Macaca mulatta: one gene and its partner. The protein of the gene in region 2 interacts with the protein of the main gene of each other region in a biochemical or structural test. Links are inferred from orthologs where the notes say so. Each region holds a gene or a part of one and is shown on either strand. Other genes may lie near its edges.

The links. The genes of interacting proteins can lie anywhere in the genome.
Region 1: the proteins of SQSTM1 (region 2) and NBR1 form a complex in vitro, tested with the Homo sapiens proteins (3 studies listed by BioGRID). The link is inferred for Macaca mulatta from reciprocal best matches to the Homo sapiens genes SQSTM1 and NBR1.

Annotation. Positions count from the first base shown.
Region 1 is NC_133421.1:67,535,851-67,540,835, reverse strand, and holds part of NBR1 (next to BRCA1 gene 1 protein), read right to left. Parts: intron 2,471-4,985; coding exon 2,035-2,470; intron 933-2,034; coding exon 838-932; intron 16-837; coding exon 1-15. UniProt on the Homo sapiens protein: Ubiquitin-binding autophagy adapter that participates in different processes including host defense or intracellular homeostasis.
Region 2 is NC_133411.1:188,839,317-188,844,301, reverse strand, and holds part of SQSTM1 (sequestosome-1), read right to left. Parts: intron 2,229-4,985; coding exon 2,017-2,228; intron 1,678-2,016; coding exon 1,482-1,677; intron 569-1,481; coding exon 411-568; 3' UTR 1-410. UniProt on the Homo sapiens protein: Molecular adapter required for selective macroautophagy (aggrephagy) by acting as a bridge between polyubiquitinated proteins and autophagosomes.

The DNA.
Region 1 (4,985 bases), on a different chromosome or scaffold from region 2:
CTAAAAGCAAAAGAGCTATTGGTTAGATGTAGCATCCATAAGCACCTAGTGTTTCCTAACTCAAGCAAGGCTATTACTGAGGCAGGTGGCAATCAGATCAGTGTTTGAAGTCTTTTTTTTTTTTTTTTAAGTATTTGGGAAGTTTTAAGGGTAGTTTAAGTGATAAGGAGAAACTGTCCAGAAATGCAATGCAAGATGACTGTTTATTGAATCAGAAAAATCAACTCTATAATCCCAATGCACTGATATATTTTGTAGTAAGAAAACAGACTCACAGCCATTAGAAACCTGCTGAACTGCTAGTCAGGAAAGGTGGAGATAGAGCTGGAACTTAGATTAGTTTGGCACAAAGCCTGTGTTCTTTCCACTGCCTCTGTGAGGTCTAACAATATATTCAACCAGAGAATAGAAATTATCAAGTATGCAGGAGGATCATGGAGAGTGAAGGGCAAGTTGTTTTTTCTTTTTGTTTTTTGATGGAATCTCGCATTGTTGCCTGGGCTAGAGCAATGGTGCGATCTCGGCTCACTCCAACCTCCGCCTCCAAGTAGCGGGGATTACAGGCACCCACAACCATGCCCGGCTAATTTTTGCTATTTTTTAGTAGAGACAGGGTTTCACTATGTTGGCCAGGCTGGTCTCAAACTCCTGACCTTGTGATCTGCCTACCTTGGTCTCCCAAAGTGTTGGGATTACAGGTGTGAGCCACCATGCTCAGCCTGTGAAGGGCAAGTTTCTAAAAACCGCCAAGAATCACGAAGACAGAGAGGCTATTTATACCTGGTTTCCATTAGACAGGAACAGAGAAAAAGAGAAAAAGCTTAGGCTGATCATTACCTCCTCTGATCTGATCAGGGACTGAAGAAACTTCTGATACGGTAACTGGTAAATCCACTCCTGGGGAACCATGATGATGTACACAAGGAGGGCTCCTTTCAGAAAGACACAATATGGAAAGTAAATTGAAAAGACACTTATGGCATTAGTGGAGAAATAGTAAACACAGCACAGCAGTGCCAAATTCTCTACAGAGGCTTCACATTTCTGATCTAAATCACATGTCTGGATTTAGCGTTCCGTCATAAGGGCTACATTGTACCCCGTTTTCCTCTTTAGCCACAGCCAAGCTAGAAATGTTGGCTTCAGTCTGTTCATGTCCCTACCTACATCAAGTGGTGTCAATAAATGGAAATGTCTAGCTTTTGGGGAGAATGGTTTACATTATAGGCAAGGCTCCAGCATTTTCCCTACTATTAGGATAAGAATGATTCAGATAGATTCACCAGGGAATTGAAAACAATTTGTTTGGTTTTTTAGTGTTTTTTCCCATAATGGATTTAACTTCCTAATTATGGCTGTTTGGGTAGAGTTTTTGCTGCCTTTACTGAAGAGTCAATAAAACAAGGAGGGAAGGTCCAGGGATGTTTGTGTTTACAAACTGGCTCTCAGCCAGGCACAGTGGCTCACATCTGTAATCCCAGCATTTTGGGAGACCCAGGCGGGTGGATTGCTTGAGGCTGGAGTTCACGACCAGCCTGGGCGCATGGCAAAACCCCACTTCTACAATAAATACAAAAATCAGCTGGGTATCATGGCCCATGCCTACAGTCCCAGCTACTCAGGGGGCTGAGGTGGGAGGATTGCTTGAGCCTCAGAGGCAGAGGTGGCAGTGAGCCAAGATTGTGCCACAGAACTCCAGTCTGGGCAACAGTGAGACCCTGTCTCAAAAACAACAACAACAACAACAACAACAAAAAAACAAACAAAAAACAAAACCAGCTCTCAGTAATCAAAATATAAGCAGACAGACTATACTCAGATAATTTAAGGCCAACTAAAACAAATATTTCTTTAAATCCAGAATCCACAAATACTGGGAAATACAACCTTTATTCATCTAAATTCAGACTTTACTATGGAAAATAGTCTCTTCCCATACTGAGGAAAAAACAGGTTTTTGAGATCAGGTCGGTTCCTCTCACTCTTTATTTCACCTCTGAAGAACACCCCAGCTGAGGCGGCTGTGAGTGGTACCTGGGCAGTGGCGGTGGAAGCTCCACTACCTCTGGGATTAGGGGCACTGTTTCCAGAGTCTGTGAGGACGTGAGGATGTCACTTATGCTGTGCTCCTGTGGCTGGTTCTCCCCTCCAGGAAGTCTCTCCCCAGCCTCAGCTGGTTCCTGCCCAGCCTCAACCCCAGGCTCGCCTTCAGCACCTCGCTCCAGGCCTGGCTGTGAGAGTGCAGAGCTGTACATGGAATCCCCCAGGGGGCGGCTGGTATCAAAGCACTCAGGCAGGATGATGATGTAATCCTCTGAGGAAGCAGAGGACTGACTCTGAACTTCATCTTTGAGCTCCTCCTCCTCCTCCTCTTCCTCCTCCTCCTCCATGACAGCTTCTTCCTCAGTGATATGGACAATCTCCTCCCTCTCATCTCCAAGTGGTCCTTCCTCAGGCAAGGCAAATTTCACTAAAGGATGAAAGCAACCAATTTTAAGGTGGAAGCTAAAAGCAGGCCTAAGTACTATCCTTACTTGGTAAAGCCTTGTGGATCATGAGATAGAATTATGAAAGCCAGAGGAGAGGGAAGAACTAGCGAGAAGGGCTGGTTCTGGAACTATGACCACATTCTAAGGTTGAAGACTATGCAAAACAAAATAGAATCAAAGCTCACAGAAACAAGGTAGGCAGAAACACCCAGGCTTCCAAAAAGTTCTATGAATCACAAAAGGAGGCAGCTCCATCCCTTCCCTTTTCCTTTTCATGTGATGGTTAATACACTGAGGTAGAGTTTAAACCAAAATGGATACACTAACAATGCTATAAAAAGAGAAAAAGTTAGGAGACTAGTATTGCAGGATTACATGCCTATTCTCCTCCTCTTCTTTACAAAGATGATGCAATCATGGGAGAAAACTGGCCAATCATGTTTGAGGGGGTAAGAAAGGGTATAAAAAAGCTACCCAGGGGCTGGGCGCGGTGGCTCATGCTTGTAATCCCAGCACTTTGGGAGGCCGAGGTGGGCGGATCACAAGGTTGGAAGATCAAGGCCATCCTGGCTAACATGTTGAAATCCCATCTCTACTAAAAATACAAAAAAATTAGCCGGGTGTGGTGGCAGGCACCTGTAGTCCCAGCTACTCGGCTGGCTGAGGCAGGGGGATGGCATGAACCTGGGAAGTGGAGGTTGTAGTCAGCCGAGATTGCAACGCTGCACTCTAGCCTGGGTGACAGAGAGACTCTATCTCAAAAAAAAAAAAAAAAAAGCTATCCAGGCCAGGTGTGGTGGCTTACGCCTAAAATTCCAGCACCTGGGGAGGCCAAGGTGGGCAGACTGCTTGAGCTCAGGAGTTCGGGACCAGCCTGGGCAACGTGGCGAAATCCCATCTTTACAAAAAAAAAAATTTAGCTCAGTGTGGTGGCATGTGGCTGTGGTCCCAGTTGCTTGGGAAACTGAGGTGGGGGGAGCCCAGAATGTTGTGGCTGTAATGAGCCATAAACTTGCTACCCGCACTTCAGCCTGGGTGAGAGTGAGACTTTATCTCAAAAAAAAAAAAAAAAAAAAAGGCCGGGCGCGGTGGCTCAAGCCTGTAATCCCAGCACTTTGGGAGGCCGAGACGGGCGGATCACGAGGTCAGGAGATCGAGACCATCCTGGCTAACACGGTGAAACCCCGTCTCTACTAAAAAAATACAAAAAAACTAGCCGGGCGCGGTGGCAGGCGCCTGTAGTCCCAGCTACTCAGGAGGCTGAGGCAGGAGAATGGCGTGAACCCAGGAGGCGGAGCTTGCAGTGAGCTGAGATCCGGCCACTGCACTCCAGCCTGGGCGGCAGAGCGAGACTCCGTCTCAAAAAAAAAAAAAAAAATACCCATAAATCCTATCAGAATAACAGCTGTGAATATTTTGGTATTGTGTTTCCAGACCATTTTGTTATGTATTTGTACACACATGTGGAAAAACATATAAAGATATGCACAATTGATTGATTGCTTGATTGACTGATTAATTTGAGACAGTCTCACTCTGTTGCCCAGGCTGAAGTGCAATGGCTTGATCTTGGTTCAATGTAAGCTGCGCCTCCCGCGTTCACGCCATTCTCCTGCCTCAGCCTCCTGATTAGGTGGGACTACAGGCACCTGCCACCATGCCTGGCTTATTTTTTGTATTTTTAGTAGAGTAGGGGTTTCACTGTGCTAGGATGGTCTCGATCTCCGGACCTTGTGATCCACCCACCTCAGCCTCCCAAAGTGCTGGGATTACAGGCATGAGCCACTGTCTTATTATAATTTTTTTAGATGGAGTCTCGCTCTGTCACCCAGGCTGGAGTGCAGTGGCGCAATCTCGGTTCACTGCAACCTCTGCTTCCCAGGTTCAAACAATTCTCCTGCCTCAGCCTCTTGAGTAGCTGGATCACAGGTACACGCCACCACGCCCAGCTAATTTTTGTACTTTTAGTAGAGATGGGGTTTCACCCTGTTGGTCAGGCTGGTCTTGAACTCCTGAGCTCGTGATCTGCCCAACTCAGCCTCCCAAAGTGCTGGGATTACAGGCGTGAGCCACTGCGCCTGGCCTTACATGTGTATTTTAAACAAAAGTAAGATAAATAATATTTAAAGATATAGGTCAAATTTCATTATAATAGATAAAGAGATTCTCCAATATTATTTTGACACAGTATTATTTGAATTTTTGGATACTTCTTAAAATATATGCTATTGGTTCTATTTGATACCCAGAAGTTTCTGTTATAAAGGTATTTATTCCTTTTTCTTTTTTTTTGAGATGGAGTTTCACTCTTGTTGCCCAGGCTGGAGTACAACTGCACAATCTCAGCTAACCACAGCCTTTGCCTCCCGGGTTAAAGTGATTCTCCTGCCTCAGCCTCCCGAGTACCTGGGATTACAGGCATGTAATCCCTGGCATGTAGCCACCACGCCCGGCTAATTTTTTGTATTTTTAGTAGAGATGGGGTTTCTCCATGTT
Region 2 (4,985 bases):
AGCGTACCAGGTCTCTAGCAGAAAATCAACTAAATGTCAGGGACCTCCGAGTCATTTAAAAAGAGAAAGTGGAAGGCCATTAGGCAAGCTATGTCTGGGCTGCTAATGTGGCCCCTGCAGGGAGGGGCCAGGAGCACTGCGGTGAGCCTCAGGTCTCGCAGGCCCAGCCCTGCTGCAGGGAACCAGAGCACCCAGGAGACCGGTCTTGCTTCTCAGACATCACACACACGGGGACCCTCCCCTCATGTCACTTGTTTTGCTGCCCTAAATGGCTTCTTCCACCCTAACCCCTGATCCCCTGATCCTGGAAGGCGGCAGAGAAACTGGCCCGTACAGAGACTTGCAATTCTACACTAGCTTAACAGCTACGAGACAGAAGAGGGGGACACAGAAGAGGTGGGTAAAAGCGGTCACAATGGCGGGGAGTGCTTTGAATACTGGATGGTGTCCAGAGCCGCCCCGATGTCGTAATTCTTGGTCTGCAGGAGCCTGGTGAGCCAGCCGCCTTCGTCAGAGAAGCCCATGGACAGCATCTGGGAGAGGGACTCAATCAGCCGCGGGTCAGCCTCTGCCAAAACAGTAAGGAAGCCATGAGGAGTGATGCTGAGCCCTGTGAGTGACCCGAAACACACACCCTCCTGCCTTGGCCAGCGGGACCAGGGCCTGCCAGTGTCCGAGTGCCCAGAGCTCTGGCCCTCACAGGCCACAGTGGACCTGCTTTCCCTGTAAAGGGCCAACCAGTCTTTTTCACACTGTTCAACTCTGCCACTGTGACACAAGGCAGCCAGGTGGCATGTAAACAAAACTATCGCTGGACACTGAAATACGCATTTCCTCTAACTGTCACATCTTTTGATTGAAAAATACAAGAACTACTCTTGGCCCATAGGCCATAGCTCGCCATCCCCTGCCCTAAGGCAGAGAAGACACACTGGCGGCGCACAGCAGGTTGTGCACAGACCTTGGTTTACACACGGCTGCAGTGACAATGAGGAGTCTCTGTCAGCTGTCCCCACCCCCCACCGCTGCCTTCCACACCATCCACTTCAACGGTGGCTTCTGCCTGGCTCTTCCAGGGATCTTGGCTATGACCCCCACTCAGACCAGCACTCCCTGAGGAGACACTGAAGAGGTCTGAGCCCAGTGTGAGTAGTAGGGACACACCCAGTGCTGCCCCCTCTCTGCGTCACACCTACCTTAATTCCTGGTCTGCATGTTAAGTTTTAGAAACTCCTACAATTAATATTCCTGGCTCTGGAGTTTGCTTAAAGAAAAACATTTTTAGAACTCCTGCATTAGCAGAGCTTACTCACTGCTGCTCAGGGTAGACGTAAGAGGACAAAACCAACTCCTAACCTCCCACACCTACAGACAAGCCCTGCAGTGGAGAACGTCCCATCCTGTTTGTGTCGCTGGAATCGGGGGGCAGGATGCTCTGAAGGGAAAGGTAGGACTGAACACAGAACTCTTGGTTCACTTGCCTGGTGGGAGATGCGGGTACAAGGCAGCTTCCTTCAGCCCTGTGGGTCCCTCCTGGGAGGGGTCCAGAGAGCTTGGCCCTTCGGATTCTGGCATCTGTAGGGACTGGAGTTCACCTGTGGACGGGTCCACTTCTTTTGAAGACAAATGGGTCCAGTCATCGTCTCCTCCTGAGCAGTTATCAGACTCCATCTGCTCCTGGAACAGAACTCACCATGAGCACACAAGAGACACGCGCAACAGGCCAAGCCTGACCATGGCACTGACTCCTGGCAAACAGTCGGGGAGCGTGCACGCACACATGTGTTTAAGGCTGCAGGGGGCTACGGGGATCAGTGAGCCACTCACAAAGACCAAGTAACTACAAAGTTCTAGCAGGTTCCCAGAGTGACTTTAATGGCACAGACATCACTGCAGCAGCAGCAGCTCCCTCAGGTTTCATAAGTGGCTGCATAGGTGCTGAGGATGAGGTGGAGGTGCAGCTACAAATCGCTAGGCTGCCCGAAGTCCCAGGTGGTGGGAGGGGCACAGGCTTGCCTCAGGCCGCCCCTCGGACTCCAAGGCGATCTTTCTCATCTGCTCTGCCAGAGACTGCGTGGCGCCCTCAACATTCCCACCCGGCTTGCTGGGGTCAGAGCAGCAGCTGCTTGGCTGTGAGCTGTTCTTCTCTGTGCTGGAACTCTCTGGAGAGGCAGGGGTCAGGCGGCTTCTTTTCCCGCCGTGCTCCACGTCAATATCCACTTCAATGCCTAGAGGCCGAGGAGGAGAGAGAAAGCTGTGACGCTCCCCCAAGGAGGCAGCTGCGAGCAGGAGTGTGGCCTGTGGGGACTACAGACTCACGATCTCACGTTCAGTCCACACAAGCAGGTGAGGGTCTGGATGGCGGCACTCAGTGTGTGGATGCAGGGGCTAGGTTCTCCTACCCAGCTTGACCCCGGAATCACACAGTCAGTATGGGACTAGACGATGCAAACGTGTGAGTCCGAGGCTTCTCCCAATATCCCAGCTACAAATCTCTGTGGCTTCTGGAAACATTCTCGGTGTGCCCGCGATACTGGAGCTTTCTCTTTCTCCAATTCAGTAAAACATTAACCTCAGCTAGCATCTAAGGTCAGCTTCTAAGCCAGAAAGTCAAGAGAGACCTTGTTTTTTCTAACCATGCAGGGTATGGGCTACACAGCAGGTAGGGCCAAGCCCTAAGTACGGGGGAGCCAACACTGCATGTGACGGGCACCTCCAGCCACAGTGATGGAAGGCTGTGTGTGCCTCATGACACTTGCACACAGAGGCTTTGGGTGATGACACAACACGCACCTAAACGCTGGGCTCCGCTCGGAGTGGACAGGCCATGCAGGCGAGGCATGGGGCCCGACGTGGCAGCGCAGGGAGCCTGCACACCTCCAGGCTCACGTAACTCACCAAGGACAGAGGAAAGAATCACCTGCACTATTCTGAAATTAAATAGTGTCAAAAGTCTCCATGCCCACAGCTTAGAGTCACCGGTTGTCAAAGGCTGTGGTGCACACACTGCTCCCATCCCACTCCCCAAAGCCTCCCTGCACCCTTTCAGCTCATGCTGCTCCCACCTGATGATCGAGTTCACACCTGTGCATGCTGCTCCCACCTGATGATCGAGTTCACACCTGTGCATGCTGCTCCCACCTGATGATCGAGTTCACACCTGTGCATGCTGCTCCCACCTGATGATCGAGTTCACACCTGTGCACTTCCTACTCTAGACCGGTATCTGCCTCTCCTTCCACTACCCTTTCCAAGACTCAGTTTTTTGTTAAAAGAACATTCAGTGTTTCAGCTAGTACCTCTATCTAAATGTTCTTTGCTGGGTCAAGGGGCAGACTATTTCCTTGCATAGCTTTTTGTTTTCCTACCACTGATGACGGCTTCTCTTTTTTTTTAGACGGAGTCTCGCTCTGACGCCCAGGCTGGAGTGCAGTGGCGCAATCTCTCGGCTCACCGCAACCTCCGCCCACCGGGTACAAGTGATTCTCCTGCCTCAGCCTCCAGAGTAGCTGGGAGTACAGGCACGTGCTACCATGCCCAGCTAATTTTTATATTTTTACTGTAGAGACGGGGTTTCACCATGTTGGCCAGGCTGGTCTTGAACTCCTGACCTCAGGTGATCCGCCCCCCAACATGCTGGGATTACCGACATGAGCCACCGCACCCAACCTGCCTTCTCTTTTCATTTGCTGACTTTCCCCATGTTCTCCCCACAGCATCTCCATAGTTTTCTACAAACTACAGACTATTGCTCAGAGGGTGAAGTGGATCCGAGGCCCCACTGGTTCTGGTGTTTTCCATAGAGAGTGTCCCCGGCTGTGCAGCCTCCTGTTCCAGCCAGGACTGGCGGCTCTCTGGGCAGAGGCTCTGCTGCACTGCTGTGACCACCTTTACTTTCACCCTCTGTCCTATTAGGTCCCCTGTTTCCTAATAGCTCTGTGCTTCATTTCGGGTTTATCTCTCCATGTGGTTCAAACCAAGGTTAAAATAATTAAGACTGTACACCAGAAAGTAACTTTGTTCTGCCCTGATACTTGATTGTTTTAGATGGTTATAGAACTCTAGGCTGGACCAGGCACAGTGGCTCACGCACATAATCCTAACACTTTGGGAGAACAACGTGGGAGATCTCTTGAGCCCAGGAGTTCAAAGTCGGCCTGGGCAGCATGGCAAGACCCCATCTCTACAAAATGTTTTTAAAACAGCTGGGCACAGGGCTGGGCGTGGTGGCTCACGCCTGTAATCCCAGCACTTTGGGAGGCCAAGGCAGGTGGATCATGAGGTCAGGAGTTCAAGACCAGCCTGGCCAAGATGGTGAAACCCCGTCTTTACTGAAAATATAAAAATTAGCCAGGTGTGGCGGCGGATGCCTGTCATCCCAGCTACTCGGGAGGCTGAGGCAGAAAACTGCTTGAACCCAGGAGGTGGAAATTGCAGTGAGCTGAAATCACGTCACTGCACTCCAGCCTGGGCGACAGCAAGACTCCGACTTGGGGGGGGGAAAAAAAAAAAAAAAAAAGAAAAAAGAAAAAAAAAATCTAGGTACAGTGGCACATGCCTGTAGTTCCAGCTACTTGGGAGGCTGAAGCAGAAGGATCACTTGAGCCCACGAGATCAAGACAGCTGTACCATTGCACTCCAACCCAGTTGACGGACCGTTTCACAAACAAGAGAATTCTAGGCTGAAAAGCCTTTTTAACTGATTTTTTTTTTTTTTTTTGACACGGAGTCTCACTCTGTCGCCCAGGCTGGAGTGCAGTGGCCGGATCTCAGCTCACTGCAAGCTCCGCCTCCCGGGTTCCCGCCATTCTCCTGCCTCAGCCTCCCGAGTAGCTGGGACTACAGACGCCCGCCACTAGGCCTGGCTAGTTTTTTTGTATTTTTTAGTAGAGACGGGGTTTCACCGTGTTAGCCAGGATGGTCTCGATCTCCTGACCTCGTGATCCGCCCGTCTTGGCCTCCCAAAGTGCTGGGATTACAGGCTT